3 linked regions of the Cricetulus griseus genome follow. The protein of the gene in region 1 interacts with the protein of each later gene in a biochemical or structural test. Links are inferred from orthologs where the notes say so. Each region holds a gene or a part of one and is shown on either strand. Other genes may lie near its edges.

Region 1 (10,457 bases):
TTCTGATGCTACTGTCTCTGCTGCCAAGTGGACAGCTGCTGCCTCACATGCCCGCCGCCATGTATTCTCCACTAAGATGGACTGAAATATCTCTGAAACTGTGAGCCACATACATACATACATACATACATACATACATACAATCCCTCTCCTTCTGTCAACCAAGTGAACTTTGTGCTTAATACCTCATTAGGAAGTCATGCTATACTCCAATATCTAAGAACTTTTAACATTTCTTTATCCTTTTTCAAATCTCTTATTTTATTTTACTTTTGGTTTTTCTAGACAGGGTTTCCCTGTGTAGCTTTGGAAGCTGTCCTAGAACTAGCTCTTGCAGACCAGGCTGGTCTTGAACTCACAGAGATTCTCCTGCCTCTGTCTCCCGAGTGCTGGGATCAAAGGCATACACCACCACTGCCTGGCTCAAATCTATTACTTTTTAATCTACCTTTGAACCCTTTCCAACAGCAAGTATTTAAAGTCTTATAGTGAGAATATTTTTGGATAGCTGGATTAGTCAATATCATTAAATAACACATGGCTTGCCAGAGTTCTAAAAACTAGCAACTAGTGTTCACAACTAAATAAAAATGATTAGATCTGGAACCAAGAGAAAACCCCAACTGGAAGGTGTCAGGAACAAACTAATGGGACTGTCCGTTATACAAGATTTCAGAAAAAAACTATCCATTATCTTAACAACTTAATTATATTTTTTTGCACACTAAAACTTGGGAACCTTGTAATTCAAAGGTTCTGAAATTCTAGACTACTGACGTTTTTGCACTACATAATTTTTGTTGCAGGGAATTTGGCATCTATTAGATGCCAGTAGCATCCCTCCTCCTCCAATTATAATTTCACCAACCACTGGCAGCACAAAAAATTCTCCTTACCCATCTATTGAGAATCACCACCATAACAAAATAAAAACAATTATGGGCCTAGAGAGATAGCTCAATGGTTAAGAGTGTTTGTTTCTTGGGGTGCTTTGAATGAGAATGGCCCCCATAAGTTCATCTGTTTAAATACTTGGTCCTCAGTTAGAGGAACTATTTGGGAAGGATTACGAGGTGTAGCCTTATCGGAAGAGGTGTGTTACTGGGGATAGGCTTTGAGGTTTCAAAAAACCCCTGCCATTTCCAGTGTGTGTCTCTGCCTCTGCTTGTGGTTTGAGATGTGAGCTCTGGGCTGTCCCTGCTGCCTGCCTTGCTCCACCATCATAGCGTCTGCCTCTCTGGAACATTAGCCCAATTAGTCACTCTTTTCTTTAGTTGCTGGTCATGGTATTTTGGCACAGCAATAGAAAAGTAGCTAATACACTGCTCTATAAGTTCAGTTTCCGAAATCCATATTGTTTAGCCTAAAACTTCCTGTAACTCCAGCTCCAAGGAATCCAACGTCCTCTTCTGGTCTCTGCAAGCATCCACACACATACATTCACACAGACAAACACATACACATAGTCTGTAACTCAGTTTCTAGGGGATTTTACACCCTCTTCTGGTATCTTCTGGCATCAGTCGCAAACAGTACACAGACATAAATGCAGGCACTAACCCCCACTTGCATATACATCGGTAAACTAAATAAATAAAAACAATAAATTTCTGTATAGACAAAATATACTGGTTCACATCTCTGAAGTGCCTTTAGAAGGAGAAAGAATAAGCAGTTAAAACAAAAAGTAGAAATATATTAATATTGGGCTGGAGAGATGGCTCAGAGGTAAAGAGCACTGGCTGCTCTTCCAGAGGTCCTGAGTTCAATTCCCAGGGTGACTCAACCATCTGTAATGATGATATCTGGTGCCCTCTTCTGGCCTGTAGGCATACATGTAGGCAGAACATTGTATACATGATAAATAAATAAATCTTTAAAAAAAAAAGAAATATATTCATATTAATAGAAGAGTTCTAAGTAAAAATATATAGGAAATAAAAGGCAGATATACACAAACCCAATTCCCATTAGAAGAAATTCAAATGGCCAAATTATTTTAGGTAATTTAATTTTGCTTAATATGATATTATGCAATGTGGGTCACTGGATTAAAATTTACATCATCAAAGATTGCTTTTTAGATTGGTAAAGTGGCACACCTAAAATGTCAGTATCTGGGAGGATGAGGACAGTTACTCAAGCCCAGGAGTTCAGGACTGACAGCAACTAATCTGTCAGACTTCATCTCAAAACAAACACTGTCCCTTAAAATATACTTTGCTATCAGAGGAAGCACTACATTACATTACACCATACATACCTCCAAATTTGGCATTCACCATAACATACAAATGCTCTCGAGGATAAGCATTTGGGTCCCTGGAAACAGCATGTAAACTAATCGTGGGGTATTCCAGTGAGAATCCTAATCCAGAACCATCTAACCAAGACAGGCGGCTGAAAAACATGGTTTAGGCACATTATTTTTAAAAATTAAATCATAACTTAATATTCCAAAATATATAAATGTTCAACCAGGACACTTTTATGCATGGAAAGAAATTCAAATTTATTGACAATATTAGAAATACTCCTTAAAATAAGAAAATTTTGTAACAAGAACTGAATTTTTTCTTTTATGTTTTTTTCCCTCTAAATATAAATTCAAACAGAATTGAGAGGCAAGTCATCCGTGTTTATTTCTCCACTATGTGTACATGCATGTGGATACTGGTGGATGCCGAGAGAGCATCAGATCCCCTGGAGCTGAAGGTAAGGGAGACTGTCGACACTCCATGTGGGTACTGGTAATATAGCTACGGTCCTCTGAAAGAGCAGCTCTCAGCCCCTTCCCTGTGCTTGTTTCTTGTGCTCATTCTTGTTTAGAATGTCTCCATTACCCTCTTTGCTGTACAGATCTTTTCACCTAGTCAAGTCCCCAATAACTCCATGAGACCTCCTTTTTACAAGGACCACTTCTGTTCCAAACTTCACTTGTGCTTGGTAACACACATTAGCACTAAGTAGGCTAATGAACCATGTTTGTACTCTGTTACTTCCATCCCTTTATTCAACATTCTTCAAAAATGTTAGCACAGTTCTTCGTAGGTAAGCATGCAAGATAAATGGTCATCAACCTTTCCACACCTCATATATTAAATGATATATATACAAAACAGATGTGATTGCAATCACAATTCAAAAAAAAATTTACTATTACCTTAGGAGACAAGATAAAAGTTCCCATTTATTACCAGCTTTAAGAAAAAGCTACAGGGGCTGGAGACACAGCTCAGTGGTTAAGAACACTTCCAGAAGACTCAGGTTCGATTCCAAACACCCACATTCCAAGCTCACAATGATCTGTAATTCCAGCTGCAGGAGATCTGACACCCTCTTCTGGCCTTGACAGGCACCTGGGACACACATGATACACTGACAAACATGCAGGCAAAATACCATGCAAATAAAATAACATTTTTAAAAACAAAGAAAAACAAAAAGCCACAAAACACTTTCCCCTTAAAAGTGCACAAATATTTTAATGGTATAACAAAGGAAACATATCACCAAAGTTAGTAGGTTGAATTTTAACAGATGATGCCTAATTTTTCTTGGCAGTATTTCTCCCACATGAATTGTACAATCTAGAAAAAACCAGTGAAAAGACCTTGGCAGGAGGCAAGATCCCAAAAAAGCCACAAAAACATTTTCAGAGCTGAAAGGAAACAGGGAACAACTACTAAAATGAGCATTGGGTTTTTTGTTTGTTTGTTTGTTTGGGGGGCTACAACAAAATGTTCTAAGACTGAGTGAAGATAAAAGTGCATAATAAAAACCATTAACTTCTATGAATGAAATGAATAAGTTGTATGGCATGGAAACCATGTCAATAATGCTACTTTAAAAGGGAATATCCTAATAAAAGTCATTTTTTATACAACTACTGTATACTAATTAAAACTTAAAACAGAAATTAAAGGAATAGGGACATACCTCTGCAGAACATATGCATATCCTGTACCCTCTCCAATTTCTTCCTCCTTATTCTCTTCCTCCCTCCCTCCCCATTCCTCCAGCTTTGACATTTAGCTCATGTTAGCTTGTTGCCCAGGTTGGCCATGATCCTTTTCCCCTCTTGGAGACAAGGTCTCTAAATAGGCTTGACTCTCAGAACTCACTGAGATCTGCCTGCCTTTGCCTCCAGTGCTGGGATTAAAGACCTGCTCCACCCTGCCCAGCCATAATCACAAACTCTAGACTCTCCTCTTGCTCTTCCTGACTCCACATGGCAAGTGCTGGAATTACAAGCCTGTGCCCCCATACTCAGCCTCACCCTACTTTCCATACAGTTCTGACAAGCTGACCATGGATCACAGGTATAATACAAGCGCTCTGGAGACTGCTATAGGACAACTGCTGTTAAGTTCAAGGCTAACCTGAGCCACATAATGAATGCCAGGCCAGTCTAGGCTACACAGAATCCAGGTCTCAAAATAACTAGGTAGTGAGTGACAAATACCTTTAATCCCAGCACTAGGAAGGCAGAAGCAGGCAGATCTCTGTGAGTTCGAGGCCAGCCTGGTCTACAGAGCAAGTGAGTTCCAGGACAGCTAGGGCTGTTACACAAAGAAACCCTATCTCAGGGGGAAAAAATAGTTTGAGGAATTATTTCGTCCCTACTGCTTGTAACGGAACAGATTTCTTATGTAACTGACTGTGTGCTGCACATATCCTCCCTTCCCACACACAGCTCTTCTCTAATGTGGGAATGAAACAGTGCTCATGGGTACTGAGAATAGACCTAGCAAACTATGTTTCCTTTCTCACCTCCAAAATCTCTTGACATGACCACAATTTAGAATGGAACATTCAGATTTACCCATCCAAAATAATTTCAAATATTCAGAGCCACAAAACCTTTATTAACTCCACCGGGCAGTGGAAAAGTTAGCATCTAAATCAAATCAGTGTCTAGCAAATTATGGCCTTTGGTTTAGAGGCTGAAATCATTATCTAGCCCCTAAGAATGACAGCATTTTGTCTCTGCACAGTGCTCCTCTGAGAGGCTCATGAAGAATGGATGTGGCACTTGCAAGCAATACTTATTTGACTTAAGTTCTAACCCTGCTTTGTCTCTTGTCACAGATTCTAGAAGTACTCCAAAACCAAGATATACAATTAACTATGACCAGTCATAAAAAACAAAACAAAATGTCATAAATGCAAATACAAGAACTAAAAGAGTAGTAAACACCAGTTGAAAAATGTTTTGTTAAACTCTGACACTTATGAATAAGGACAAGCAGTATCTTTTAATTCTGGTGAAGAGTTGAAAACAGTACAGAAAAGTAAGAGACCCTGACCTTAATTGGTTTAAAATTAATTTTGGAATGACATGCAAAGAGGCATTGTTTCTAAGCTCAAAAGTAACTTTTTTGTTTGTTTTTCGAGATAGGGTTTCTCTGTGCAGCTTTGGAGGCTGTCCTGGCACTCTCTCCGAAGACCAGGCTGCCCTTGAACTCACAGAGATCTGCCTTTGCCTCCCTAGTGCCGGGATTAAAGGCATGCAGCACCAGCACCCATTGGAAAATCCACTTCTAATCTGGATCTTGAGGCAGAAAGACTTTAATACTGATCTTGAAATGGGATTCCAGCATCCACTGAAGATCTGCTGAGAGACCCAGCCTCTTGGACTGAGCAACTTCTGGATTCTTGAAATTTCCATTCATTGGCAGCCATTGTTGGATTAGCTGGACCATACCCTGTAAGTCATTCTAATACCTTCTCTCTCTGTCTCTCTCTCTCTCTCTCTCTCTCTCTCTCTCTCTCTCTCTCTCTCTCTCGGCCCCTGTGGTGACAATCAGCTGATGGTGAAATAAGGGGACTAGCCTGGATTTTCTAGTCAGGCCCAATATTATAACACGAGCTTTTAAAAGCAGAGGATGTACTCCGTGGAGGACAAATGAAATATAGCAGAAGGTAAATCAGACACTCTGAAGGACAGGAAGGGGGGAGGAGAGAGAGAGGAGAGAGAGAGAGAGAGGAGAGAGAGAGAGAGAGAGAGAGAGAGAGAGAGAGAGAGAGAGAGAGAGTGTGTGTTCCAGTGACGTGTCTACCTTATTGTGAAAGTACAAAGCGCTGTAGTCAAACAACAGTAAGATTCCTTCCAGGACCGGAGTCAGGGCCGGCTGGTTATGACCCCGCCCTGCGTGGGCCTGAAGATGCTCTTTTTCCCCACCCACACCTTGAGCAGAAAAATCCATGCTCATTAACCAAAGGTCCCAAACCCTTCACAATCTACACTGAACTCACATATCTTACGCAGGTAAAAACAGGTAGCTCACACGATTATTAAGAAAGCCAGGCACATCGAGAACTAACATAGGCTCTGCAGACTCAAAACTCTAAACGTGACCACGCGCCAGGCTCCAGAAGACAGGCCGGTAAAAAGCACAAGTCGTTAAGGAGAAACACCGTCTAGAGAACAGAGCCAGGTGGGATCGGGAGAGGGGAGCCCTCTCAACCACCATACTCGTAGCGTCGCTCCCCGCTCCCCGCAGCAGCCCCGAGGTCGTGCCTAAGGGAGGAAGGAGCCCCCGAAGGAGGCCAGCGCCGGAGCCCGGGGACCCTACCTCTCCGCAATGTAAAGGGTCCCGGAGCCGAGACCCTTCCCGTTCAGCACAGCCTCGGTGTCTGGCTGCTGCAGCCGGAGCCCGTCTTCCGACGTAGGCGGCGGGAAGCTTTTGAGGAAGCTCATTGCGGGTGAATTCTTAGCTCCCTCCGCACGATCCTAGACGCGGAGCACCACAACCCCAGGCCACATGAGCAGGCCCGGAAGCAGTAGCGCTATCCCGGAAGAACAACTTCCTCCCCGCTGGGTTCGGCGAGCCGTTGACCATAGAGATGGGACGGTCTAGACGCCGGAGGTCCGTGAGGACCCGGCTGGCTTTTGTCACGTGATATGGGTCTTTCCACCCACCCCCACTCGCGGCCCCGCCCGCCCCGCCAGCCCCGCCCCACCCCGCCCGCCCCGCCCCGCCCCTCTGAGGAGGCTTAGAATAACAGTGTTTTTCGCTGTGGTTCTATTTGTAGGTCGTCACAGCAATCCCTGAGAGAGTATGTTTAAGGAATACTGTGCCTTCCAAAACAAAACCCGGAACGGGCCTAGGAGGACGCACGGGAAATAGAGTCCACACTCATCTGGAGGTCAGAAGTCCCCCGGTTGGATGCGCGGTTCTTCCTGCTCCCGCCTCATCGGGCCTGATCTCACCGGTTCACACAGCCATTCACCAGACCTCCGTCTTAGGCCTCATAGCGCCCCATCCCCACGTGCCACGCCACAGCAGCGCAAAGAGGTTACATTACCTGAACGAAAGGGCGGCGAGACAGTCCAAAGACAGCGCCGAGGGGAAAGGCAGCCATTGATCGGGAACTTCTAGGCCCCAAAGAAAGAGCAGTGAAGACTTAGTAAATAGACACCCGTAGCCGACGGCTATGTGCCACACAGCGTAAGCACTTTACCACTCTCATTTCTTCATGGATTCTTGTTGTTTGTTGTTTTTATCCACATGCACCCTACTCTGGCTACAAGTACTGTTACAGGCAAGCATCACCACATCTGCTTAATTCATATTTTTTTCTTTATGATAAATAATAAGAACAAGTTTTCTATTAACTGACTCCGTTTTACACATGAGAGCTGAGGCATTAAACTCACAAGCTAGAGTTTAGAAATGAGAGACCCAGAGGATGGAATTCAGTCAGCCAATCTCTAGGCTTCATTTTTTTTTTTTTTTTAACTATAAAATTGTCACAGCAGCCGGGTGAGCGGTGATGGTGCATGCCTTTAACCCCAGCATTTGGGAGGCAGAGGCTGGTGGATCTCATTGAGTTTTAGGCCAGCCTTGTCTACAAAATGAGTTCTAGGACTGCCAGCACTGTTACACAGAGAAACCCTGTCTTGAAAAACCATTTTAAAAAAGTTGTAATAGCTATGGGTTTAGGGCTGTTTAGGTTGGATGACAAAACATATAGATTGTCTTAAGAGTTTTGTTTTTCTTTTTTTTTTCCCCTGTTTTTTCTTCTTGGTATCTTTTCAACAGAGGAGTCTTTAGTGTGGAGATGTTTTCTTAAGATTTATTTTTACTTTTTAACTGTGTGTGTGTGTGTGTGTGTGTGTGTGTGTGTGTGTGTGTACGTGTGAGTGCAGACGACCACAGAATCCAGAAGAGAGCATTGGATTCCTCCAGAGCTCATCACAGGCAGTGGATGCTGTGAACCCATCTGGGTCCTCCACAAAAGCCTTAGGCTCTCCCACAGGCTGACCCATCTCTCCAGTCCTGAGACTGGTTAGTTTGTTGGTAGCAGACTAGGAGAGAGAAGCACCGAACAGGAAGGAGAAGGTGTGGCCCTGGTATAGGTGAGAAGATGGCAGTAAGGGTGAGGGGTGACAAAAGAGTCATCTAGAGCTCGTCGAAGGTTAAAATCCTCATACTTTTGATATAGAGTGAGAGGAAAAGCTTGTGAAGGTGTAGACGTGTAGACGAGAATAGTCAAAAAGAAGAGGTTAAATATCATTTTTAAATTTCCACTTTCAAAACTTGAGTAGGTGTAGGCTTATTTATTTATTTCTAAGTCGGAGAATTCAGAAAGGTTTCCAGAGTAGGTTCCAAGGTAACAGAGTTCAGGCAGAACTACTAGCCTAGTATATGTGAGGCTCTGAGTTGCGTCCCCAGTACTTTAAAAAAAAAAAAAAAAATACGTTTGAGAAACAATTAATTCGAGGTTTGCCCTAAGACATTTGATGAAACCACCAATGCTTTGCTCAGAAATGGAATCCCCATGTATGACACGTGAAAACTGGCTAAAACCAGTGTAATAATTTCTTAACTTGTCTTAGTCATTTTTACAGAATGATAGCTCAATGGCAAAACATTTTATTTAAGATGGTAACTGAGGAAAGGGATGTTAGCTCTGTGAAGGAACCCTTGAACTCATAGTGCCAGCCAGAGGAGGTGGTTAAGCAAATGTGACAAACAGACCAGCATCAAGTACTGGAAGAGCAAGGGTTATATTTTTTGCTCCTCATAAAAATCCCTGTGGATAGCATAAATAGTAGGCACTTAAATTTGTACAGTGTTTTACTTTTTAAAAGAATGATTTCCTCACCCATTATCTCCTTTATAGTAATTTTGTGAGGGTAGGCAGGGTAGTTGTTATGCCCATTTACAGTTAAAATTAAAGGTGAGAAAATGTGACTTGCTGAGGACTTCTAGCACTTATTGTGTAGCCCAGGCTGGCCTCCAACTTGTGATCCCCCTACCTATGTCTCCTGAGTGCTGTTATGTCAGCTGTCTGTAACTGTTGTTTGTGATTATGTATTCAATTGTTGCCATAAAGCCTGTTGGTTTCTTGGAATTTCTCTTAGAAACTAGTTTCATTTTTGTAAGAACTTCTAAATTCAGTTTAACAGTTCCATGATCTGTTTATTTTAAATACTGAAAATCAAGCAAAAAATAACTAGAAGACATTAAATGGGAACAGACGCATTTTTTTTTTTCAACCTTGAAGGAAGGACATCTCATAGGAATATTCAGAATGGAAATCAGGGACAGAACTGAGACAGGAAAGACGGAAAGATGATAGGAAGGCTACCCGGTAAAGGACGTATTATATACAGGGGGTTGCTACAAAAAGTCTTCTTGGAGTCAGGCTAGAAAGGAAGATAGAAACTTAAGTCAAGTGGCTCTGAAATGGGAAAGTGTTACTGAGTAGGGAAGGTGGCCTATACTGTGGACATGTATTGTAGGTTCTAACTTTTCCTATGGGATATGACTGTATGCATTAATGTTGTGTTCGTAGGTCATATCCTCTTAATGTTCTTTCTCTTTGATTGTCATTTGGACTTTAGTAATCATACAGAACTCAGTCAAAATTTCGTAAGCATTTACCTCATCCAGAAGGGTCCTAACTGTTAACATTTAATTTCATTAAAATAGTTTTATTATAATTCCACTTCTACTAAATGATCATTATTTAGTGAATTAAATCTTAGATTTTTAAAGAAATCATCCTCTGGTCTCTTAATCTAAGATGAAAGTTAAGAGCTATGTTCTAGCCCCATGCTCAGCTAAGAATCAATGAATTGTTTGAGCTGTGGTTTGGAGTGATGGTCCAGCAGTTAAGAGCACTGGCTGCTCTTCCAGAGGAACCAGGTTCAATTCCCAGAACCTATGTAGTGGTTCACAACAGTTCAGTTGAGGGGATCTAATGTCCTCTTCTAACCTCCAAGGGCATCATGCATGTACATGGTAAACAGGTATACATGGAGACAAAGCGCCCATACACATTAAATAAAAACATTAACAAAAGGCCATCGGGGACTGATTCTTAGCTGATTTGTTTAAAAATCTCAAATTGTGAATATAACTGACGATTTTCTTACCATCATAAGCCAGCAATTATTCCATTAAGTGAAATCCTGATTGACATTCTTTACATAAATGTTAATC
Region 2 (10,518 bases), on another chromosome or scaffold:
GGAAAGGGCACCAGAAGCATCAGATCTCTTGGGCCTGGAGTTACAGTTGTGAGCCACTATGGGGGTGCTGGGAATAGAATCCAGGTCCTCTGGAAGCAAAGGCAGCACTCTTAACTGCTGATTAACCTCTCTAGTCCCTCCTCTCAACTCTGTAAATGTACTCCAAACCTACCTGAAGTGGGGACTGCAGGTAGTCTTCATAGCCTTTGGCAAAGAGTTCATAAGCATTGGGTGGAGGACGATTTTGGCTTAAGTATTCCAAGTACTGGAGGTAGGAGCAGAACTCCTTCTCTGAGTGGTGGTTGGTGCCCGTGATGATAAACTGCACTTCCAACTGTGAGAGAAGTCAGATCATGAGACCCAGGCCACAACCATGACTCTCAGACATTATGGTTTATGACCAAAAGCCTAAACATAAAATAAAACCCACACCAATAGTTCTCCAGCATCAATTCCCCCAAAAGGGGGCTCTGAAAAATCTATGAAGTCCTTGTATGCTATATAAGCTGCCTAAGCATCATCCTGACTCAAAGGAGAGGATGCCACAAGGGAGAGGATCCCTGCAGGTGTCATGGCAGGCAGGGAAACGATGCACAAAGAGATAAGAATGAAAACTCTTAGCCTGGCTTAGGCTGGATCAAACTTTGAGAGTCTGATGCCAGGCAGTTTATTGTCAAGCATATTTAAACACAGTAAAAATTAAGAAAAAGTTTCCTGTTATAATACAATCCCCAGGGCACAAAACTCAAAGTATCTGTCATTTCTTCCAAGAAGACTGGTTCTAGAGATAGGCTACCTGTACTAGCTTAAGGGCCTAAGAAAGGCTCTGGCATGGTCTCCTTCACACAGCTAGCATAGAGGTCATTTGGACTACTAGCCACATCTGGGAGCTTGGGGGAAGCCCCTGGCTATGTAGCTAATGTAAGGGTCATTTAGACTACTAGCCACCTGCGGTTCTGGTTGTGGAGACTTGATATGGCCTGGCCCAATAGATAAACAGGTTTTCCGTCCTTCCCCTAGAAAGGACAATCCTGCATGCCTAACATTTCTGGCTTCTCTGGTGATCTGTAAGTGCAAGATCTTCACACTCCCACACACAAGGGCCTTCACACTCCCTGTAAACACACAAGGGCCTTCACACTCCCTATACATACACAAGGACCTTCACACTCCCCCACACAAGGACCTTTAATTTCTTACTTGTTTGCCTGTTTGCCTTGAGACAAACAGGCCCTGGCCGGCCTGAAAGGCCACTTTGAGTTGGAACTCAAGAGATCTGCTTGCCTCTGCCTTCCAGTGCTGGAAGTGTGCGTCACCATACCCAACCTTTTACTTTAAATACTTATGTTAACAAATTTCTCATAAAGTTTGGTTCCTTCTCCAAAAGTCACCTGACCCTCCTCCAGAGGGAAAAGAAGTCATGGACAAGTAAGTTAGGAGATTCCACTGGGCCACTCACTCACCTTGAGGAGTCGGAAGATCAGCCTTTGCTGCATCTTAGAAAGAACAGGAAATCCCTTCTTGTTGGTTAGGAAAATGCTGGTGGGGAGGATGGCTGCTTTGATGGGCTCTCCAAGCCAGCGGTCAATGACGTGATTAGATGGGAGGTCAGCCCCAATTTCAAGAGCTACACAAACAAGAAAAAGGCCTATCACCTGCTGTTAGGCAGGCAGCCCTGTCTTACTGGGTACAAGCGTTTTCCTTCTGTTGAAAACTGGTGGTTGAGCCCAGGGAAAGCAGCCAAAATACCCAGTACACACACAGAACTCATTTCTTTGTCCCCTTTTTCAGACAGGTTCTCACTGTATAGTCTTGGATGGCTTCGAACTCACAGAGCTCCACCTCTCGTTTGGGGATTAAAGGTGCATGAAAATAGAATGGTCAGTGCTAGTTCTATTTTCAGAGTGGGTCTCAAGTAGCCCAGTAAGTACTGAAACTTCCTGTGAACTTCTGATACTCCTAAGTGCTGGGATTTCAGGCATGTGCCATTACTCATGTGTGCTATGGATCTTACTTAGGGCTTCATGTATACAGGCAAGCCAAGTGCTCTGCCAATTGCCTTACATCATCCCCCCCCCAAATTGTTGATCTTCCTTTTTTTTTTTTTTTAGATTTATAGATTCTCTTTATTTATGTGCATGTATGTGCAGTTACCCATGGAGGCCAGAAGAAGTCATCAAATCCTCGGGAGCCAGAGTAAATATGCAGTTGTGAGCCCATCAATGTGGGTGCTGGTATCTGAACTCTGGTCCTCACAATAGAGCTCTCAACTGAGCCATTGCTCCAGGCCTGAAATTACTGGATTTTTTGTTTGTTTGTTCTGAGACAGGGTTTCTCTGTGTAACAGCCCTAGCTATCCTAGAACTACTAGCTCTGTAGATCATATTGGCCTTGAACCCACAGGTATCTGCCTACCTCTGCTTCTCAAGTTCCTGTATTATTAAAGGCTGGAACTACCACCACCTGGCTGTTTTTGTTTTAAAACAAAACAACCACAGTCTCTCTATGTAGCCCTGACTGTTCTGGAACTTTCTAAACTGAAATTCTTATTTTTGGTTTTTGTTTTCCAAGACAGGGTCACTCTGTGTAGCCTTGGCTGTCCTGGAACTCTGTAAACCAGCCTGGCCGCAAACCCATAGAGATCTGTCTGCCTCTGCCTCCCAAGTGCTGGGATTAAAGGCGTGTACCACCACCACCGATTGGCTATTTGGGGGTTTTGCTTTGTTTTGTGAGATAGAGTCTGTCTACATAATTCTGGCCATCCTCGAACTCACTAAGTAGACCAGGCTAGCCTTGAATTCAAAAAGATCTACTGGACTCTGATTCCCAAGCCCTGGGATGAAAAGTGGTGGGCCACCGCACCCAGCCTGCTGATTCTTACTCTTACGGGGTTCCTCCTATCCCAGGACCCTTGTGCACTTACCTACTGCAATTCTCTTGCTATAATCACACAGAGTCCTGAAGTTATGCCACCTGCCCAGATTCAGAAACAAAACACTGTCAAATGCATATGGCTTATGACTCAAGGAGCTCTTCTACCAGTTCCTCAATATTCCTTACCCCACCCCATACAGGTAAAGCGCCAAGAGGAGACATACCACATCCACGTCTTCTCTTCCCCACTGTACTCCTCTGTGTGTGTAGTTGGGACATTCTCAATGACATCATCTCTCAGGTCCTCTGGAGCCACCAAGGGCACCCTCATCCAGAACTGCATATGAACAGTTACCATTAGTTAGAACACTGTTTTCAACTAATTGGGTCCAGAAAGCTTCCCTCAAAAGATCTTGATCCAGATCTCAAGTTAATCTCTTTATATGCCCTTCTGAATTTGATTACATCCGTGTTTAATATCTTATACACATCCTTATGCAAATACCTCCCTTGTCTTTTATTTTAGCTAGAAACAAGCATTTTCTATGATTTGGCATTGTTTTATAGTGCTAAGACTCTTACCCAGAGGCTCATGTATGTTAGGCAAGTGATTACCACTGAGCTGCACCTCTAAGCCCATAGATTCTGCTTGAAGCTCTCTCCATGCCACTTCAAAATTGGGGGTTGGGTGGGATGGGCAGTACTGACATTTCAATTCGGCCAAAAGCACTGGGGCATAACTAGGCAAAAGTCACTTCACACAGCTGACTATCATGATACTCAGCAGCACAGAAGCCTACCATGGAAGAGTGGTGGCCAGTATGGATGTGGTTGGTCAAAACTCTGGCCAGGTTTGTGTTATCTTCCTGATTCAGGGGCAACAGAAAAGCTGGAAGACCCAGATATGCCCCGAAATTCAGCTCCTGTAACATAGCCTGAAACACATGGAAAGAAAAAGCCATTAAGAACTAGGAACCAAATACTTCCTGGGTAGAGAGGAGTTTAAACTGGATCTGGTATTGTGGCCCAGGCTGTCAGGAATTCCCTATGTAACTCAATTTGGCCTTGAATTGGAGGCAATCCTCCTCACTCAGCCTCCACAGTCCTGGAACCCAGCTTTGTAGACCAGGCTGGCCTCGAACTTAGAGATCCGCCTGCCTCTGCCTCCCAAGTGCTGGGATTAAATGCGGATGCCACTACTGCTCAGTTATTTTTGTCTTTTTGAGACAGGGTCTGTCTACATAGTCCTGACTATCCTAGAACTATGTAGACCAGGCTAGTCTTGAACTCAAACTATTTTTTTTTTTTTTTGTTTTGAAGAGGGCAACAGGATCATATGCTCACTTCAGCAGCACATACATTAAAACTGGAATGAAATAGGGTCTTAGTATGTAGCCCTGACAGGCCGGGAACTCTCTCTCTGTAGACCAAGCTGGCATCCAACTCAGTTCGAGGATGGCCTCTGCTGAGTTACAGATGTGAGTCACCACACCCAGGGTCAGACTCTTAACTGTACTCTGATTTACCAGGTTCTGGGGAGTGGGAGTTACTCTCCTAACCCAATTTGATGACAGAACTAATTTCTTTCCTTTTTTCCCACCCTCCTTTTCTTTTCTGGCTTGGAACTCTCAATCCTCCCTCATTATCTTCCGGTGTGGAATGCCTCCCCAACACTGAGGTTACAGGTAGGGGTGGGTCACAGCACCTAGGTCAGACCTAGGTCAGAGCCAGGCGTTGGTGGCGCAGGCCTTTAATCCCAGCACTTGGGAGGCAGAGGCAGTCGGATCTCTGTGAATTCAAGGCCAGCCTGATCTCCAAAGCGAGTGCCAGGATAGGCTCCAAAGCTACACAGAGAAACCCTGTCTCGAAAAAAAAACCAAAAAAAAAAAAAAAAAAGGACCCCACAGAAAAACCAAACAGCCTTACCGCTTCAGAGTTCCTTCGGATCCTCTCCACTTTGGAGTCTGGACGAATCCACGGAGAAAGCTTTCCCACAATTAGCGTATTCCAGTCTGCACTCCCCCACCCAAGAAAAGACAAAGACTCAATGAGGTCTGGCATTTTCTTGCTCAATTTCTAGTTCTCAGCAGGAAATAGAGTAGAGATGAAAACAAGCCTTTTTCTCTCAGATACAGGGATAGCCTGAAGAATGGGGGAGTTACCTATATCACAGGGGTTAGCCAGTACAACCAAGTCAGAAAAGGAGGGAATTGAAGACCTATAAAGCAGAAGTTATTACTGCCTCTAACAATCAAGGGGCACACGGGATGGTCCCTACCCCTTCCTGACAGCAGTAGGTCTGATCGTGTCTGGGGGCCAGGTCGATTCTTAGCAGGTTCCTGAGTGAACTCCCTCTTGAAACGCGGGTGGAAGACAGGCATGCAGAGGAAATCAAACCTACAACCGCGACAGACTCAGAATTATCATGGAAAGTGAGGACCCAGAGATCAACCAACTGGGTTTAAACTATCTTGATTTTGCACAGTTCTATAAAGCCATCAGTCACCCCCCGGGGCTACTGAGTTCAGCCCATCTTGGGACATTTAACTTTCTCTGCACTGTGCATCAATTTCTTCCCAAAACATAGCCATGAAAGATGACTGAGAAAAGAAGGACATCCAAGGCAAATAGCATTCTTTCTTCCCTGATAACACTGGCTTTCCAGGGCTATCAAATCCAGATTTGTCCCAATACTGCCATGCCTCCCCCAGCCAGATTAACCTCTTCTCTCGTTTGCCCCCTTAAAATACTTCTTTCTCCTCTCAAATAATCTTAGCCTCCAAGGCCCTAGACGGACTGACTCGCGTCCCGCCTTTAATTTACCCAACAACTCCCCTGACTTTTGAACTCGGTGACCACACGCCTCCCAGAGTTTCATCCTCTCGTTCCTGGAACCGAAGTCGTCCCCACTCAAGGAGTAATGGTGTCTCCAGCCCTCATCCCCTGCGGGGAACTAGTCTGCCCTCCTTGGTCCCCAATTTGGATCCCGCATTCCTCACCCCTGCTTGGCCACAGCACCCAGTGTGTCAGCTATTTCGGGGACGCAATTCAGGTCCCTCCCGCTGGACACGCGGCTGCCACCGGCACCTCCGACTGCCATCGCCGCCATCTTTTCCCTCGCGCGGCCCACGCCGGGATTCCTTGCTACTAGGGACCAATCACAACGCCGAGAGCAGTCCCCGGGAGGCGGGACAAGTCGCCTTAACAACCAGAGCGTCTTCGCAGCTCCCGAGCGGAGGCGGAGGGACCGAGCGGCCGCTCCCGCCAATCCACAGGCCGCACCGTGACGTAGGCGTGGCTCCCCGGCTCGACCAATGACAGGCCGTCACTGCTGAGGCTCTGCAATCTCCCAGAATGCCGCATCCGTCTGAAGCACTCCGGAGAAAGACTACAGGTCCCATGCAACCCTGCAGTTAGCCTGAAGTACTATCATTGGGCTACCACAAAATGTCTGCGGGCCAGTGGCGCAATGGATAACGCGTCTGACTACGGATCAGAAGATTCCAGGTTCGACTCCTGGCTGGCTCGTTGGGACTGGTACTCCTTTATTTGCATCCCTTGCTAACCCAGTGTTCCTAAACCCCACTAGTCCTGTAACGTTTTGCTCTTGTCTCACAACCGCTGTACTTCCTTCACTATCTGCTTACGCTGTCATTTCCAGGTCTTAACCTGGTTCGGTATTTCAGCCATCCCATGCTGGCGTGTCTCATTCCTCTTTTCAAAGCTGTTTCTTGTATAATTAAGTGAATCTGAGCATGAAAATTTCGGTGAATGGACTATTAAGATGAGCTTTGTCTCATTACTATGCTTAAAAAATACTACACTTAAAAAATACTCTGTAGTAACTTAGCCACTAATTCCTAGTGATTCTGTCTCAAGCACAGATGTAAAGAAACACCTGCCCGCGCGCGCACCCCTCAGAGAAAAGGAATTCATGAGCGATTACAGTGCCCAGGAGTCATGAAACTGCCTCGCGGAGGGCCGAGAGAACCTACGTTTCCCCCTGTCAACAGCTGGAAAAGAAGGAAATGGCACAGGCAAGGAAGAACCTCGGAAGGGAACGGGAAACACGTACCTGAGGCAAGAAGCCCACAGACGTTGAGGACCCTCCAGGCCAATCTGTGGAGGCATTTTCTCAGCTGAAGTTCCCTCTGCCTTGTGTCAGCTTTGACAAAACAAACAAACAAACAAATAAACAAAAAAGTTAAAAGGCACTGACAGAATTCAGGGACTCGGTAGCAAGGAACCGGGAGGGGGAAATAGTAATGCCACGCAGCAGCGTTTTGCCCTTGAAGTGGGAGAGTTCAGGGAGAATCGGATTTGGGGTTCGGGGTGCAGACTGGCCATCCAGAGAGCGCCGTGTGATAGAGAGCTGCAGGGACAATGATCTGAACCACACGTATTTGGACGTTTCCAGACAGGAGTCTTGACTAGTGAGGTCACCATGGATTATGGAGGACAGTGCTCTTAGCAACACAGGAAGGCGTGGAGAAAATAGGCTCTAAGGAACCCTGGGTAACGTAAGTCCCCCCCACCCCGCACCCCAAGAACAGCCAGGAAACCAGAAAACCAAGAAAATTCACAATGAGGGGTTGAGGATGCTTTTGTACCACCACCACCACCCACCCATCACACCAACAACAGCAACCCATCACACCACCTTCACCACCACCACCACCAACCCATCACACCACCTTCACCAACAACAACAACCCATCACACCACCACCACCATCACACCACCCCACCACCCCCACCAACAACCACCCCACCCCACTCCCACCTTCACCACACCACCATCACCACCACACCCCCCACCCCCACTCCCACCCCCACCTTCACCACCACACCCCCCACCCCCACCTTCACCCCACCCACCCCCACCCCCCACCCCCCACCCCCCCTTTTGCTGCTCCCGGATCTTTGTTTTTGTTTTTTGGGGTTTTTTTTTTTTTTTTTCGAGACAGGGTTTCTCTGTGGCTTTGGAGGCTGTCCTGCCACTCGCTCTGGAGACCAGGCTGGTCTGGAACTCACAGAGATCCGCCTGCCTCTGCCAACCGAGTGCTGGGATTAAAGGCATGCACCACCAACGCCCGGCTTGCTTCTCTGGGATCTTATGCAGGATACCACATCACATTTAGTCGAATGTGTCCTTAGGCTCCAGTTGACTGTGACTATCTCTCAGATGTTCTTTGTTCCTAATGATTGTTACTTCTGATGATGTTAAAATGCCCTTCTGTTGGAACTTGTCTCATGTTTTTCTTTTGATTAAACTGGGAAAGAAAGCAGGGCGCTGGTGACACATGCCTTTAATCCCAGCACTCGGGAGGCAGAGGCAGGTGGATATCTGTGAGTTTGAGACCAGCCTGGTCTACAAGAGCAAGTGGCTCCACCGATGACAATTTTCCATGCTATACTTTTTGGAAGGATTCCACTCTGCACCGCCCTGCCCACGCCACGGGATTGGAGAACTACAGGGCCTCTCCTGTAGGGGGCAGAATTTATTTACAATTCTCCCTGCAGATCTTTCCAGTGGATGTCTGTGGGAAGTGAATCTGCCCACAATCCACGAGATAAAAACACTGTTAAGGAAGGGATATGTGATAGGTAGGGTTTTAGTTGGTGGGGGTGGTAGGGGAGGACAGGAGGGAGAGGAAACTGGGATTGTCATGTAAAACAATCTTATTTCTAATTCAAATTTTAAAAGATTTGCGCGCACACACACACACACACACACACACACACACACACACACACACACACACACACACAAACGCTGTTAAGGAGGGTTCCTGTCTCTGCCTCAGCTGTGCCCAGCAAACTGCATCCAGCAAAGTCTTGGTAGGTGTTTGTTCTTTCAGAAGCTAAATGTCTAGTTGTGGACCGTCTGTGTTTCTGGGTCTCACTCCTGACAACAAGGTAGTGGTTGTTCCATTGGCTGTTAAAAATCCATAGGTGAGAGGGAAAGAAGGAAAGCCTGTGAAACACTGTGTTTTCACTAGTTAAAATACTTTTCAAGAGTATGGACATCTATCGGGCTGGATTTCTTCCCTCTATGTTGTCTTTGTTCTTCGTTAAAACTGGCTTTGGCCACCTACTGGGTATGATGCCAAGCAGTTCCTGGGAATTCTGTCACACACTACTCCTGCTGTCTCCCACATCCTTTTCCTGTGTCACTTGGAAGGGGGAAAAGCATGTAACTACAGGTTTGTGTATAGCAAGAAGGGAAAGACTGAGAGAAAAAGAATAGAGAGTTCAGGTCAGTGAAATGCTCTGTGGGTAAAGCACTCACTCACCACACAAGCCTGGTGACCCAGAACCTTACTAAAGAGGAAGAACAGACTCCCAAAAGTCGTCCTCTGACCTCAAAAGCTACAGATCTCAGCTGTACAACAGGACGGGGGCTTTGCTGGGATGAAGACAGGCATGGAAGAAGACCAAATAGTCTAGGTAAGAAATAAGGGTGCAGTGGGCGAGGCCAGCCTGGTCTACAGTTTCAGGGCAGCCAGGGAAACACAGAGAAACACTATCTTGAAAAACCAATAAATAAGCAAATAAATACATGTAAATAATAATAAATAAACTTACTTTTCTGGTAGACATTAATGACAATGGAGCAGAGCATTAGAGACTTTTGGGAAGGGGAGGGGAGGGAGAGATGCTCACTCCCAGATAATGCTCTCCCTGCTGCTAGTTATTCCCTGTCTTCAGGCTCAGCTTTATTTGGCTGAGTTTCTGTCTTTGTTTAAACACCTCCTGTCAGTCTTATTGGTTGTGCTGGCCTTCCTGAGACCCTCCTTTACTCATCTCTGCAACCACCCCGCCTTCGCTCACCCCTGCACCAGCTTGGTCAGCAGCCCTCTTCAACACCTACACAACGGCCGGCTTGACCCTCCCACTGCTCCAAATTGCTTCTTTACAATCAGAGCTTTCCTCTGACTATGAAAGTGGCAGGGTTACTGAGGCAAAATAATCTGTGCCGATTTGCATTTTCTTCCTTGTCATCTCTATTATACACTATTAATCTGCCATGACAAATAGGAAGCAGGGACTGTTCTAAACATAGAAAAAGATAGAAAGCTGCCCAATTTATGTATGAAGCAAAAACATACCCAGTATCAAAAACTGTCAAAGGCGGGCACCCAAGACGGCTCTAGACCACTTCTATCTTATGGACATAAAACTCCGGAGTTATTTAGAATTACTAAAATCAATATATTGCTGTAGTGATTATATAATACAGCCAAATAGTGCTTATCCCAAAAATTAATACAAAATTTGGTATTAGGATATGATATAATACATATATATTCTTGTTGAGACCTGGCACTGGGAAGGGACTCAGGAGGCTAAGGCAGGGGAGTTGCCTTGAGTTTAAGGCCACCCTGGGCTACAGTATGAAACCCTGCCACCCTGCATCTCACACACACACACACACACACACACACACACACACACACACACACACGTTTCTACATGATGGCAAGAGGCCAGGGCTGTAGCTCAGTTGGTAGAGAGCCCTAGCATGAACAAAGACTCAGCCTCTGCTCCTAGCACACCATAAACAGAGCATGGTGGCAGGTACAGCAACCTCAACACTCAGGAGGCAGAGGCAAGGGGATCAGGAGTTCAAAGTCATTCTCCA
Region 3 (10,283 bases), on another chromosome or scaffold:
ATGGCTCAGCAGTTAGAGTACTTGATGCTTTTGCAAAGGACCCAGGCTCAGTTCTGTTCCAGGCACATACACAACGGCTTACAGCTGTCTGTAACTCCAGTTCAAGGGGTTCTGGCATCCTCTTCTAGCCTCTGAGGGCACCTGCATGGACACACATGCAGACAAAACACTCGAGCCACACAAAACTTTATAATCAAAATCTTAGAAGAAGTAAAGAAGAAAAAGCAAGCTAACAGTCATAGGCCTTTTTCTTTTTATCCTTCTGATACTCTGCTGTGCAAGTTCTCTTTCTTTCCTCTCTCCCTGTCATGTGGGCATAGCCAGAGAGAGTTGGCTATAAGAAATGGATGGATCTTGTACTGAACTTACCAGCACCCTGATCTTAGAATTCTCAGCCTCCAGAATTATGAGAAAATAAACAAAGACACCAGGTAACTTGCTGGTTTTGTCTGCTGTTTCCTTGTCTAGTAGCTAATGCTTAGTAGTGACCCATCATATTACTTGAGGCTGGGGGCGTAGCATTGTCAGGGACCGAGGTTCAATCCCCGGTGCTACAAGTTTAAAAAAAAGGAAGGAAAAAAAAGTCACTTACTGAAGGAACGATGAGCTGTGTGAGAGGCTTCAGGCAAACCAAGGTGATGTAAACCTCAGTCTCCAGAGACTCAAACCGTTCTCTCTCAATACACTGATGGAAAACTCTCTGCAGAATGAGGCGCTATCAAGATAGGTGTCTTCCCTTTCCAGAATCCTCACTGAGGCTGTAAATGCCCTTTTTGCTCTGATCTACTCAAGCTGATTACTACCTGGATCTTGTTTTTATCTAACCAATGATCTGGAATGTGGCTTTCTCACCTCTGACATCCAAATGTTCTGCCCCTCCCCCTCCCCCTCCCCCCTCACATCAGGCTCATAGAGGGGGCATCTGCTTTCTCCCTGGTGGGCCTGAGAATTCTGTAATAGGCAGGTAGGGTCAAGGTTGCATTTGCCTCTTCCCAGACTTTACCCATAGCTAGCATTATTCTATGCTGTTGAATAGGTTTGTTTTAAAGCTCTACCCCTTGAAATGCCTCCTTGTCACTACAGAGCCTATTAGTTCTAGGCTTCCAGATCACAACCCTTTGTTGGATACTCCCTCTTCTCTCTGTGGCCTGCACTCTGGTTCTAATTAGTTGGGGCCATGTCTTCTCTTATACTGTTATAAAATGTGGGCTAGGAAGGTTGCTCTTCAGGGTCCTAAGAAACTCAGCGATCTCTCTCTCTCTCTCTCTCTCTCTCTCTCTTTCCCCCCTCCCCCACTTCACTCAGCCTTAGAACCCCTAGATCCTGAGGCCTCACGAGGCAAATATCCCTACTTGGCTATCCTGATCTTGGCACAGGCAAGATGTTTTCTGGAAGCAGGTGATAAGTGTAGGAGAGGCCTTGGTATTTGTCCAGATAACAGCTTTAGCATTTAGACTTCAAAACTGCTGCTGATATTGATGTCTGAAGCCAAGAAGTGACCCTACCTGAAAACTAGGGTCTGCTTTGTTTGTGGCCTGGCTTCAGTTGTCTGGTTGTCCCTAGTGAAGGAAAGCAGTCAACTCTCCCTGGACACATTATCCCTCTCAGCCTCAGCCTGCTCACCTCAAAAAGTACAAATAACAGCAGTAGCCTACTTCACCGGGATTTATGAAAATTAATCCTATACCATCTATAAACACTTTACCACTGTATCTACCTCTTAGCTCGACACAAGTGAGCCATTATTTGCTGAGGCTAAGAAAGGGCAACGATCTTATCAAAGTTCACAGTTAGATAACTGGAGGAGTAAAAATGTAAATCCCAGGGTAGGTCCAAGCCCTGCTCCAGCCTACCACCAGAAGGAACCATTCCCCGAAAGTGGTGTTACTCTCCAATTGACACTTAAGGAAGGGCTCAGGCCCCAAACCCCTTGACCCTTCCCATGAGATAGCAGCACGCCACAACAGCTTATTAATATATCAACTCTTGTGCCCCAAGCAGAGCTCCACCATGACTTCCAACTTTCCCCACTTCTTGAGCAAGCAAAGGGGTTCGGGTTTCCTCGGGGCGGAGGGAACCAGAGAGAGAAGAGTACTAAGACAAAAGCGCTGCGTTTGGGAAGCCAGATTAAAAAAAAAAAAAAAAAAAAAAAAAAAAGGCCCTTCCCTTTGCTGAGGGATCTCAGGCCGTTCTTTCCCCCTTCACAGCCCCAGGCCTTCCACAGTTCCCCCTAGGAACAGCATCACGCAACGGGGTTCAAGCAGGACCATTCGTTTCTGGGGAAGGCAGTGCCTTTGCCCCCTCGGACTTTTGCACTTGACTGCTCTCAGAACTCCCCGAGAAACAACCAGAAGCGGAGGACGGGAGACGAGAAGGAATATCCATCCACCTAGCTAAGGTCCACTGGAAGCTCCAGTCTGGGCTGAGGCCGCCTGCGGCCCAAGGTCGCGCGGCCAGACCCTGCCCAGCTCCAGGGCGGAGTCCCCCTCGGTTTCCCCGGTGAGGGCAAGGCCCTCTGAGAGGCACTGACCGGGCTCGAGCGGCTGCCCCGCTGCCTCTGCCTCCGTCCTCATGACCCGGGTGGCGCAGGGCGCCCATGGCCCCGGCCTGGAGCTGATCGCAGCTGCGACTTGTGCTGGGCAGCGAGCGCGGCCAGTGTGGGGAGAGTTCCGCCGCCGCCTCTCCTCCTCCTCCTCCTCCTCCTCCCGCCGCCGCCGCCACCGCCGCCCGCCGCCGCCGCCGCCTCCGCGGTTCAGAGCCGGGTGGGCGGGGGCTAGGCCGCCTCAAGCCCCGCCTCGTCCCTGCCAGGTCCCCGGCCTGGAGACCCGCCCCTCCCCTAGGCCACGCCTCCTCGCCCACCCACTTCTCTCCCATAAAGAGCGACCCGCAGGGCCCGCCTTCTGCGGAAGCCCCGCCCCTCCCGGGCCCCGCCCCCAGGCCCTTCCATAGCGACGTTGGCTCCTCCCAAACCCCCTCCGCTCGGCTTGCTCCTTTGCAGCCCCGGGTGTTAGCGCCGGCCCCTCGCAGTGCCTGCCTCATCGAAACGCCCCGGGAATCCTCCTCTGCCTCCCTTTCGGTCTTAGCCACACGATGAAAAATGCCAGTTTCCCACGCTCGGTGCGCCGCTTACCTGATGGCGACCAGATCCAAAGCTTAGATTCCTAGTCCAAGCCTCACTTCCTGTGGCACCACAGCAATTTTGGGGCTCCAGCCTAGCTCCCGCCCAATCCGTCCCTGGAGTACTTTGTAAGTGGGGGGGGGGTCTCCATGTTCCTTTTGGGGCTCGAGGACGGATGCTTCCGGCGGCCCCCCGGGTCCTCTCCAGGGCCGGAACGATAATGCCAGAGCCGTCGTTTTCCGAGCCGGCGGAGTTAAGGAGGAAGCATACGTCAGAGCGCTCTCGCCGCTGGGGAAAGGAAGAGGAGGGGCCCTGCGCGCGGTATCCTGGGAACGCGTGGTATTCTGGGTACCCCGGGCCCGCCATTCCCTCGCTTCACGCCTTCGCCGTGTAACGTTTGTGCCAGGGCCGAAAGGGAGCCGGTGAGGAGAGGCGGAGAACCGGTAAGAGGAGGCCTAGGCGTCCCCGGAGGGTTAGGGGCAGGAAGGGAGCCTGCGGAGGAGCTCAGCGGGGCACTAATGGCGGGCGGGAAGCCTGGGCCGATCCAAACACCGTCTCACCCGCGCTTGGAGCAGCTCCTCGTTTACGCCTGTCTGCGCGTTCTGTGCCTTTCCGGCTCGCCGATTTTCGGAGCTCGCCCGCAGTCGTTTCTCACGAAATACCCCCTTTCCCTGTGTGCCCTCCTTTTCAGCGTCCTCTGCATCCCTGCTCCCCTCGGATTCCGGCGCTGGCCCTCCCCTGCCTTCCACGACTGCTGCACGAGTCTTAGCGAGTCGCTGTGCTGCAGAAGGGCCATGTTCGAGCTATCCTGCAGATGCTGCTATTATTCCTTTTTGTTTTCTACTGAGCCTTTGGCAATGACCCTTTTGTGTCCCCCCCCCTCCACCGTTTTCAGCATAAAACTCACACTCCTTAAGTTGAAAGCCGTGGTTCCTCACCAAGAGAGACAGCGCCCAGCATCCTTATAGCCTTCTCATGGACATAGGTGGGAACGCTCATCACAGTTGCGCTTAGCCTCCGTCTTTTACTGAGGCTTAAATCGAGCGTCGACCCTGATGGTGCTCCTGTGAGCATTTCCTGTCACTTTGTGAACGCCTTGCTATCTTATCAGGGTCTATGTCTGCTGAGCACTTGGAATATTACTAGTGTGACTGGGAGGGGAGGGGCTTTTTAATTTATATTTCAGTTGAATAGCTACAGGTAAGCAGTGATTGCTTTTGAGGTCCATATCATAGTTCTTGGGTGACTATAAAGGGTCATGTGTTTGGGAATAGATAAGAGGCACTCTTCATTCCCACCAGCCTCTTCTGTCCAGCTTGCTTGCCATCCTTCCCAGCTCGAAGGCAGTGTGTCCTTGCCATGGTGGTTCCTTCAAACCAAGAGTCAGACTCCTTCCACAGAAAATGCAGCTTAGGCCGGGCGGTGGTGGTGGCTCACACCTTTAATCCCAGCACTCGTGAGGCAGAGGCAGGCGGATCTCTGTGAGTTTGAGGCCATCCTGGTCTACAAGAGCTAGTTCCAGGACAGCCTCCAAAGCCATAGAGAAACGCTGTCTCAGAATAAAAAAAAAAAAAGAAAGAAAGAAAGAAAGAAAATGCAGCTCTGACATATTTGCAAAGGGTATGGTATGCCAGTCCTTCTTAAGCTCTGAAAGACAGCTGTTGTCTCTCTCTTCCACAGGAACACTCCTGCCAAGATGTCTATCGGTGTGCCGATTAAAGTCTTGCACGAGGCTGAGGGCCACATCGTAACTTGTGAGACCAACACTGGCGAGGTGTATCGAGGGAAGCTCATTGAAGCAGAGGACAACATGAACTGCCAGGTACCTTGCTTTGCACCTGTGAAGGAACTGTGGGTGAAAGGTAATATCTCTGACTGCTCCAGGTCTAATACACATACCTTGGAGTTGTCATAGAGAGTTCAGATGGCTGTGTGTTCACAGTGGCCAGCTCAGTGCTTTGCGTGCAATAACTGGTGCCTGTTAACTGTATTCCACATGAGAAAAGTAAAGGTTGGAGAGGGAAAGTACATTATTTAGAATCACACCTGTGGGTCAGGTGGCCTGACTATTGCCTTTTAGGGTTTGCATTAGTTATTTCCTGTGGCTGTGATAACACACCATTAGAAGGGGTTTTTTTAGGCTTGCAATTACAAAGGAATGAGTCCATCGTGGAGGGGAGAAATGGTAATAGCAGGACGCTGAGTGCTTACATCTTCAATAGAAAGCTTGAAGTAATGAGAGCTACCTGGAAGTGTTGGAGGGTATTAATCTGAAAGCCTGCCTCCAGTGACATTCTTCCTTCAGCAAGGCTGCATCCCCTCATCCCACCCCCCCCAAAACAACCCACCAACACATGGGGGCCAAGTGTGCAAATGCCTGCAACTGTGGAGGATACTTTTCATTTAAACTACTGTAATTGTGCTGCTTAGTTTTTTTGTCAACTTGGTGCAAGTGAGAGTCACCTTAGAAAGGGGAACCTCAGTTGTGAAAATGCCTATCCTATAGGCAATTCTGTGGGGCATTTACTTGATTAGTGATTGATGGGTAAGTGCCCAGCTTATTAAGGGCTAAGCCACTTCTAGGCAGTTGTTTCTGGAATAAGAAAGGAAGCTGAAGGCTGAGCATGGTGGTGCACACGTTTAATCCCAAGACTAGGAGGCAGGGGCAGGTGGATTTCTGAGTTCCAGGAGAGCCAGAACTGTTTCACAGAGAAGCCCTGTCTCGATAAACAAAACAAAAAAGATGTATTTGTCTGTTTTAGGGCATTTAGTTTTGGGAGTAGAATGAAAGAATTTGGATAGTGACTATTAATATATTTAGTATGCTGCTCTAATTAATGAAACTTACCGAGGTGGGCTTCAAACAGCCCAACTATAACAGGAATTTGTCTGACTAGATTATGGTATTCTCAGAAGTGCAGCCCATGTGATGCAAAGACACAAATCTTAGTACATTATCAGGTTAAATCTTGGAAAGCAGTGTGTCTTGTGTGTGAGCTTTGTGCTGCCCTTGCCCCCTGTTCCCTCCAGAATCGGTGATAACAGATGAATGCTCACTTTGATTTACTTTAGAGTGTGTAAACTGAGGTACTGGGAATTAGGACTTCATTGTGTCCTAATTTTTGCAGGGACATAATTTAGCCCATAATACTGCCCACATCAAGATGATGAGTCTTCATTAGGTTGACCCAGAGCCTAAGCACATTGCATAAAGATCAGTAGGCTGTGTAGAGCAAACCCCAGCAGCAGGTGAGCACTGACCACTTCACTAGTGTATCTCTGGGATTGTGATGGCTCCTGCAGGTGCCCCTGTCTCCTTCCTGGTCCCCAGTCCTTTAGAAATGAAGGCATCCTCCAAACACCTCTGCATAGTATTTTCTGTTTATAAGCTGGGGCAGAGTCAGGCAGGGTAGTACACAGCTACAATCCCAGCACTCAGGAAAACTGAAGCAGGGGAATCACCACAAATTCAAGGCAAGCCTGGACTTTGACACCATGTCTCAAAACAACAGCAAAAAACCTGACAGATTTGATACCTGAGAGAATTCCATCATAACCACTTCTTTCCCTGTATTGATATATTATTTATGATCTAGTAAAGCCATTGGGATCAAAATGCAAAGCTAGCCACAGCCATAGAACCAGGCAGTGGTGATATACACCTTTAATCCCAGCAACCATACTAGCTAGCCATAGAGGCCAGACGACAGTGGTGGTGCACACCTTTAATACCAGGACTCAGGAGACAGGTGGATCTCTGTGAGTCCAAGACCACCCTGGGCTACAGGAGAGTGAATCAGCCAAAAAGAATAACAAAGCTCACCCCTTTAATCCCAGCATTAGGGAGGTATAAAAGGAAGACACAAAGGATTTCATGTGAGACTTAGTTTTTAGACAGGGAGAGCATTGTACTTTGAGAATTAGAGGAGACAGGATCACCCATTTCAGCCTGGGATAGAGGTAAGAACTAGTGGTTTGGCTGCTTTGCTTTTCTGATCTTCAGCTTGAACCCCATGTCTGTCTCTAGGTTTTATTATTTGTGTTCCATCACCCTGTATGTATTGACATAGATAGACTTCTTTAACCTGTGTGCATTTAAATGCAGCTTAGAGAAATTATGTAAGTAGGATATTCTTTTTGCAATCTATGCTACTGATAGTGTCCAGCAAGTGTTCTCGCTACTCAGCTATGCCCCTATCCCTGTATATAGTAGCTTCAAAGTAAGGAAATGGGCCATGGTGCAGCTGAGCTTGATTAGAAAGCCAGGTAGCTGGTACTTAGACTGTAAACCTGAATTCCTCTGCTTTTAATAGTGGTACATTCAGGTGTGAGGTTGGGCAGAAGGAAATCATTTTTAGATACATGAGATACAGGTTTCTCTGGCATTGAGATATAGGAGATCCTATTAAATGATGTTCTTCGATGCTGGAGCGATGGATCAAAGGTTGGGGACACTGGTTGCTCTTTAAGAAGAGCTGGGTTCAATTCTCAGGACCCACATGGCAGCTCACAACCATCTGTAACTCCAGTTCCAGGTGATCTGATGTCCTCTTCTGGACTCTGAAGGGCACCTGCATGCACACTTGTGATGCACATGTATGCATATACATTAAAAAATGAGTAAACAATTACCTTTTTTTGAAAAATAATGTTCTTACCAGTATCGTTGTGTAAAAATCCTTGTTTAGGATCCTCAGAGCCTTATCTCTTGATAAGGAAGCGCTGTACCACTGAGCCACACACCCAGAATTTGGTTGTTTTTACATAGTTTGTGTCATTTGAAAGTATGGAGAGGGAGAGAACTGATTCTGATCACAACAGACATACCTGTAGCATGCAAACGTATGTGCACATATATACACAAAGAAATGCAATCATTTAAAAGGGAGAGAAAAATTAAAAACTTTAAGGTGATGTTTTTGAGTCTCCTGAACTCTCTTCAAACCTAAGTCTGTCCTTAAATGTATTGACTTTCCTATCTCTACCTCCTCCCAGGGATTTTATGATTACAAGTGTGTGCCAACTGTGACCAGTTTCATAATTTTTACTGTGTGATCTATTCTAAACCATATTCCAGGATGCTAATATGGGAGGACATTGTATAGTTTTGTTTTTAAGATGGAATGTTACTATAATACATATATATTGTTTTTACCAATGTGGCAGTTTGAATGTAGTTGGTCCCCATAATCTTGTAAGGAACAGCACTGCTAGGAGGTGTGGCTTTTTTTTTTTTTTTTTTTTTTTTTTTTTTGAGTGAATATGGCCTTATTGGAGGAGGTGTCACTGTGGGGGTGGGCTGTGGGATTTCCTGTCCTCAGGATACCACCCAGTGTCTCAGTCGACATCTTGTTGCCTGCAAGTTGTAGGACTCTCAGCTACTTCTCCCATACCACATCTGCCTGCATGTGCCATGCTCTCCACCATGATGGTAATAGACTGAACCTCTGAAACTGTAAGCAAGCCACCCTGATTAAATGTTTTCCTTGTGGGGCTGGAGAGATGGCTTAGCAGTTAAGAGCACTGGCTTTTCTTCGGGAGGACCCTGGTTCAATTCCCAGCACCCACATGGCAGCTCACAACTGTCTGTACCTCCTGTTCCAGGGGATCCAACACCTTCACACAGATATAAATGCAGGCAAAACACCAATGTGCATAAAATAAAAATAAATTATTAAAAAATGTTTCCTTGTAAGAGTTGCTGTGGTCATGGTGTCTCTTTACAGCAGTAGAAACCCTAAGACACATGTCATTATTCCTTTCCCAATTAAAAGTGAATATGTCATAGAATGGATGATTTAGAGGAAAGGGGTTTATGTGTAGACATGTAACATACAAAGGTAATGACCTTGTTGCTAATGTGCAGATTGTCATTTATAGATGGCACTAATGATCCACCACTGAAAACAAGGTAGTAAGGCTGCTGAAAGGGTCTTGGCCACTTAGCATGTTCTTCCTGGAAGTGACTTGGTCTGTCAGTCAGTTTTTTGATACAGTAACTCTACCTCCAGTTAAAATGATAGTTGTGGGGGCTGGGAAGATGGCTAGTGGTTCAATTCCCAGCACCCACATGGCAGTTTACTACTGTAGCTCCAGTCCCTGGAGACTGGATGCTCTCATGCAGACATACATGCAGGCAAAACATCAATGCACATACTTATAAAAATAAGTAAAAAATTTTTTAAAAAAAGCAAAATGATAGTTGTGTGTCCCTTTCAGTGTTTTTAATAAGGAAAACTCTCAAAAACCAGTATTTCTGTTAATAGAGCTAAATGAATTATAATTAAATTCACAATATAGCAGGCTTTGAACTTCACACACACATACACCATCTCTTCTACATCCCAAGTGCTGGGATTACAGGTATGTGCTAACATGCCCATGTTGTTTTCCATTAGTTTCTATAATCAACTCTAGTTAATACAGTATGTATATTTGTACAAATGGAGAAAAAGTACGTTTAGCATTTCTAGACCCATGTGGCTGTTAACACACTAAACGGAATACTTTTCGACAGCAGCTAAAATTTCTAAAAACCAAATTTTATTTATTTATATTAAAAAAATAATATCAGTATGTTATATATCAACAGCTTTTCTGGGTTCTATAGTTACTGATCATGATTATGGAGACACTCATCAGGGCTAGCTGTATGTGGTGCTAGGTATCAAACCGAGGGTGCCACTTCTGCCAGGCAAGTTCTCTACTAGCTTATGTAGTTATATTTTTTTATTATTTTTCTTGGAGACTGAGGCAGGAGGACCTCATTGCATTGAGAAATCTCTAACTTCCCTGGTATCAGCTTGCTTTTTCAATCTGACCTAATCCTTGATAAGTTTCTTTTAGGCTATAATTTTGTAAGATAACAATTCCACACTGATCATTCTAGGCATCATAATGAGACTCTTTCTAGTGTTAAAAAACAGTAACTTTAAAAAGGAAGATTATGATGACTGGAGAGATGACTCAGACTAAGAGCACTGGCTGCTCTTCCAGAGGTCCTGTGAGTTCAATTCTCAGCAACCACATGGTGGCTCATAACCATCTGTAATGAGATCTGGTGCCCTCTTCTGGCGTGTGAGCACACATGCAGGCAGAACTATATATATATTCTTTTTTAAAAAAAGAAAGAAAATTATGAGTATGTGCTTGGTTTATTATCATA

The links.
Region 2: the proteins of Clns1a (region 1) and Prmt5 form a complex in vitro, tested with the Homo sapiens proteins (5 studies listed by BioGRID and IntAct, with this or other methods). The link is inferred for Cricetulus griseus from reciprocal best matches to the Homo sapiens genes CLNS1A and PRMT5.
Region 3: the proteins of Clns1a (region 1) and Snrpd3 form a complex in vitro, tested with the Homo sapiens proteins (2 studies listed by BioGRID). The link is inferred for Cricetulus griseus from reciprocal best matches to the Homo sapiens genes CLNS1A and SNRPD3.

What each region holds. Positions count from the first base shown.
Region 1 is NC_048596.1:101,793,023-101,803,479, forward strand, and holds the start of Clns1a (methylosome subunit pICln), read right to left. Parts: upstream 6,794-10,457; 5' UTR 6,704-6,793; coding exon 6,579-6,703; intron 2,401-6,578; coding exon 2,264-2,400; intron 1-2,263. UniProt on the Homo sapiens protein: Involved in both the assembly of spliceosomal snRNPs and the methylation of Sm proteins.
Region 2 is NW_023276807.1:209,730,852-209,741,369, forward strand, and holds the start of Prmt5 (protein arginine N-methyltransferase 5), read right to left. Parts: upstream 6,030-10,518; 5' UTR 5,984-6,029; coding exon 5,874-5,983; intron 5,272-5,873; coding exon 5,153-5,271; intron 4,887-5,152; coding exon 4,801-4,886; intron 3,810-4,800; coding exon 3,675-3,809; intron 3,212-3,674; coding exon 3,099-3,211; intron 2,974-3,098; coding exon 2,924-2,973; intron 1,628-2,923; coding exon 1,464-1,627; intron 335-1,463; coding exon 173-334; intron 1-172. UniProt on the Homo sapiens protein: Arginine methyltransferase that can both catalyze the formation of omega-N monomethylarginine (MMA) and symmetrical dimethylarginine (sDMA), with a preference for the formation of MMA.
Region 3 is NW_023276806.1:263,059,303-263,069,585, reverse strand, and holds the start of Snrpd3 (small nuclear ribonucleoprotein Sm D3), read left to right. Parts: upstream 1-3,407; 5' UTR 3,408-3,561; intron 3,562-4,798; 5' UTR 4,799-4,814; coding exon 4,815-4,940; intron 4,941-10,283. Other genes in the region: protein GUCD1, read right to left, coding at 2,531-2,573. UniProt on the Homo sapiens protein: Plays a role in pre-mRNA splicing as a core component of the spliceosomal U1, U2, U4 and U5 small nuclear ribonucleoproteins (snRNPs), the building blocks of the spliceosome.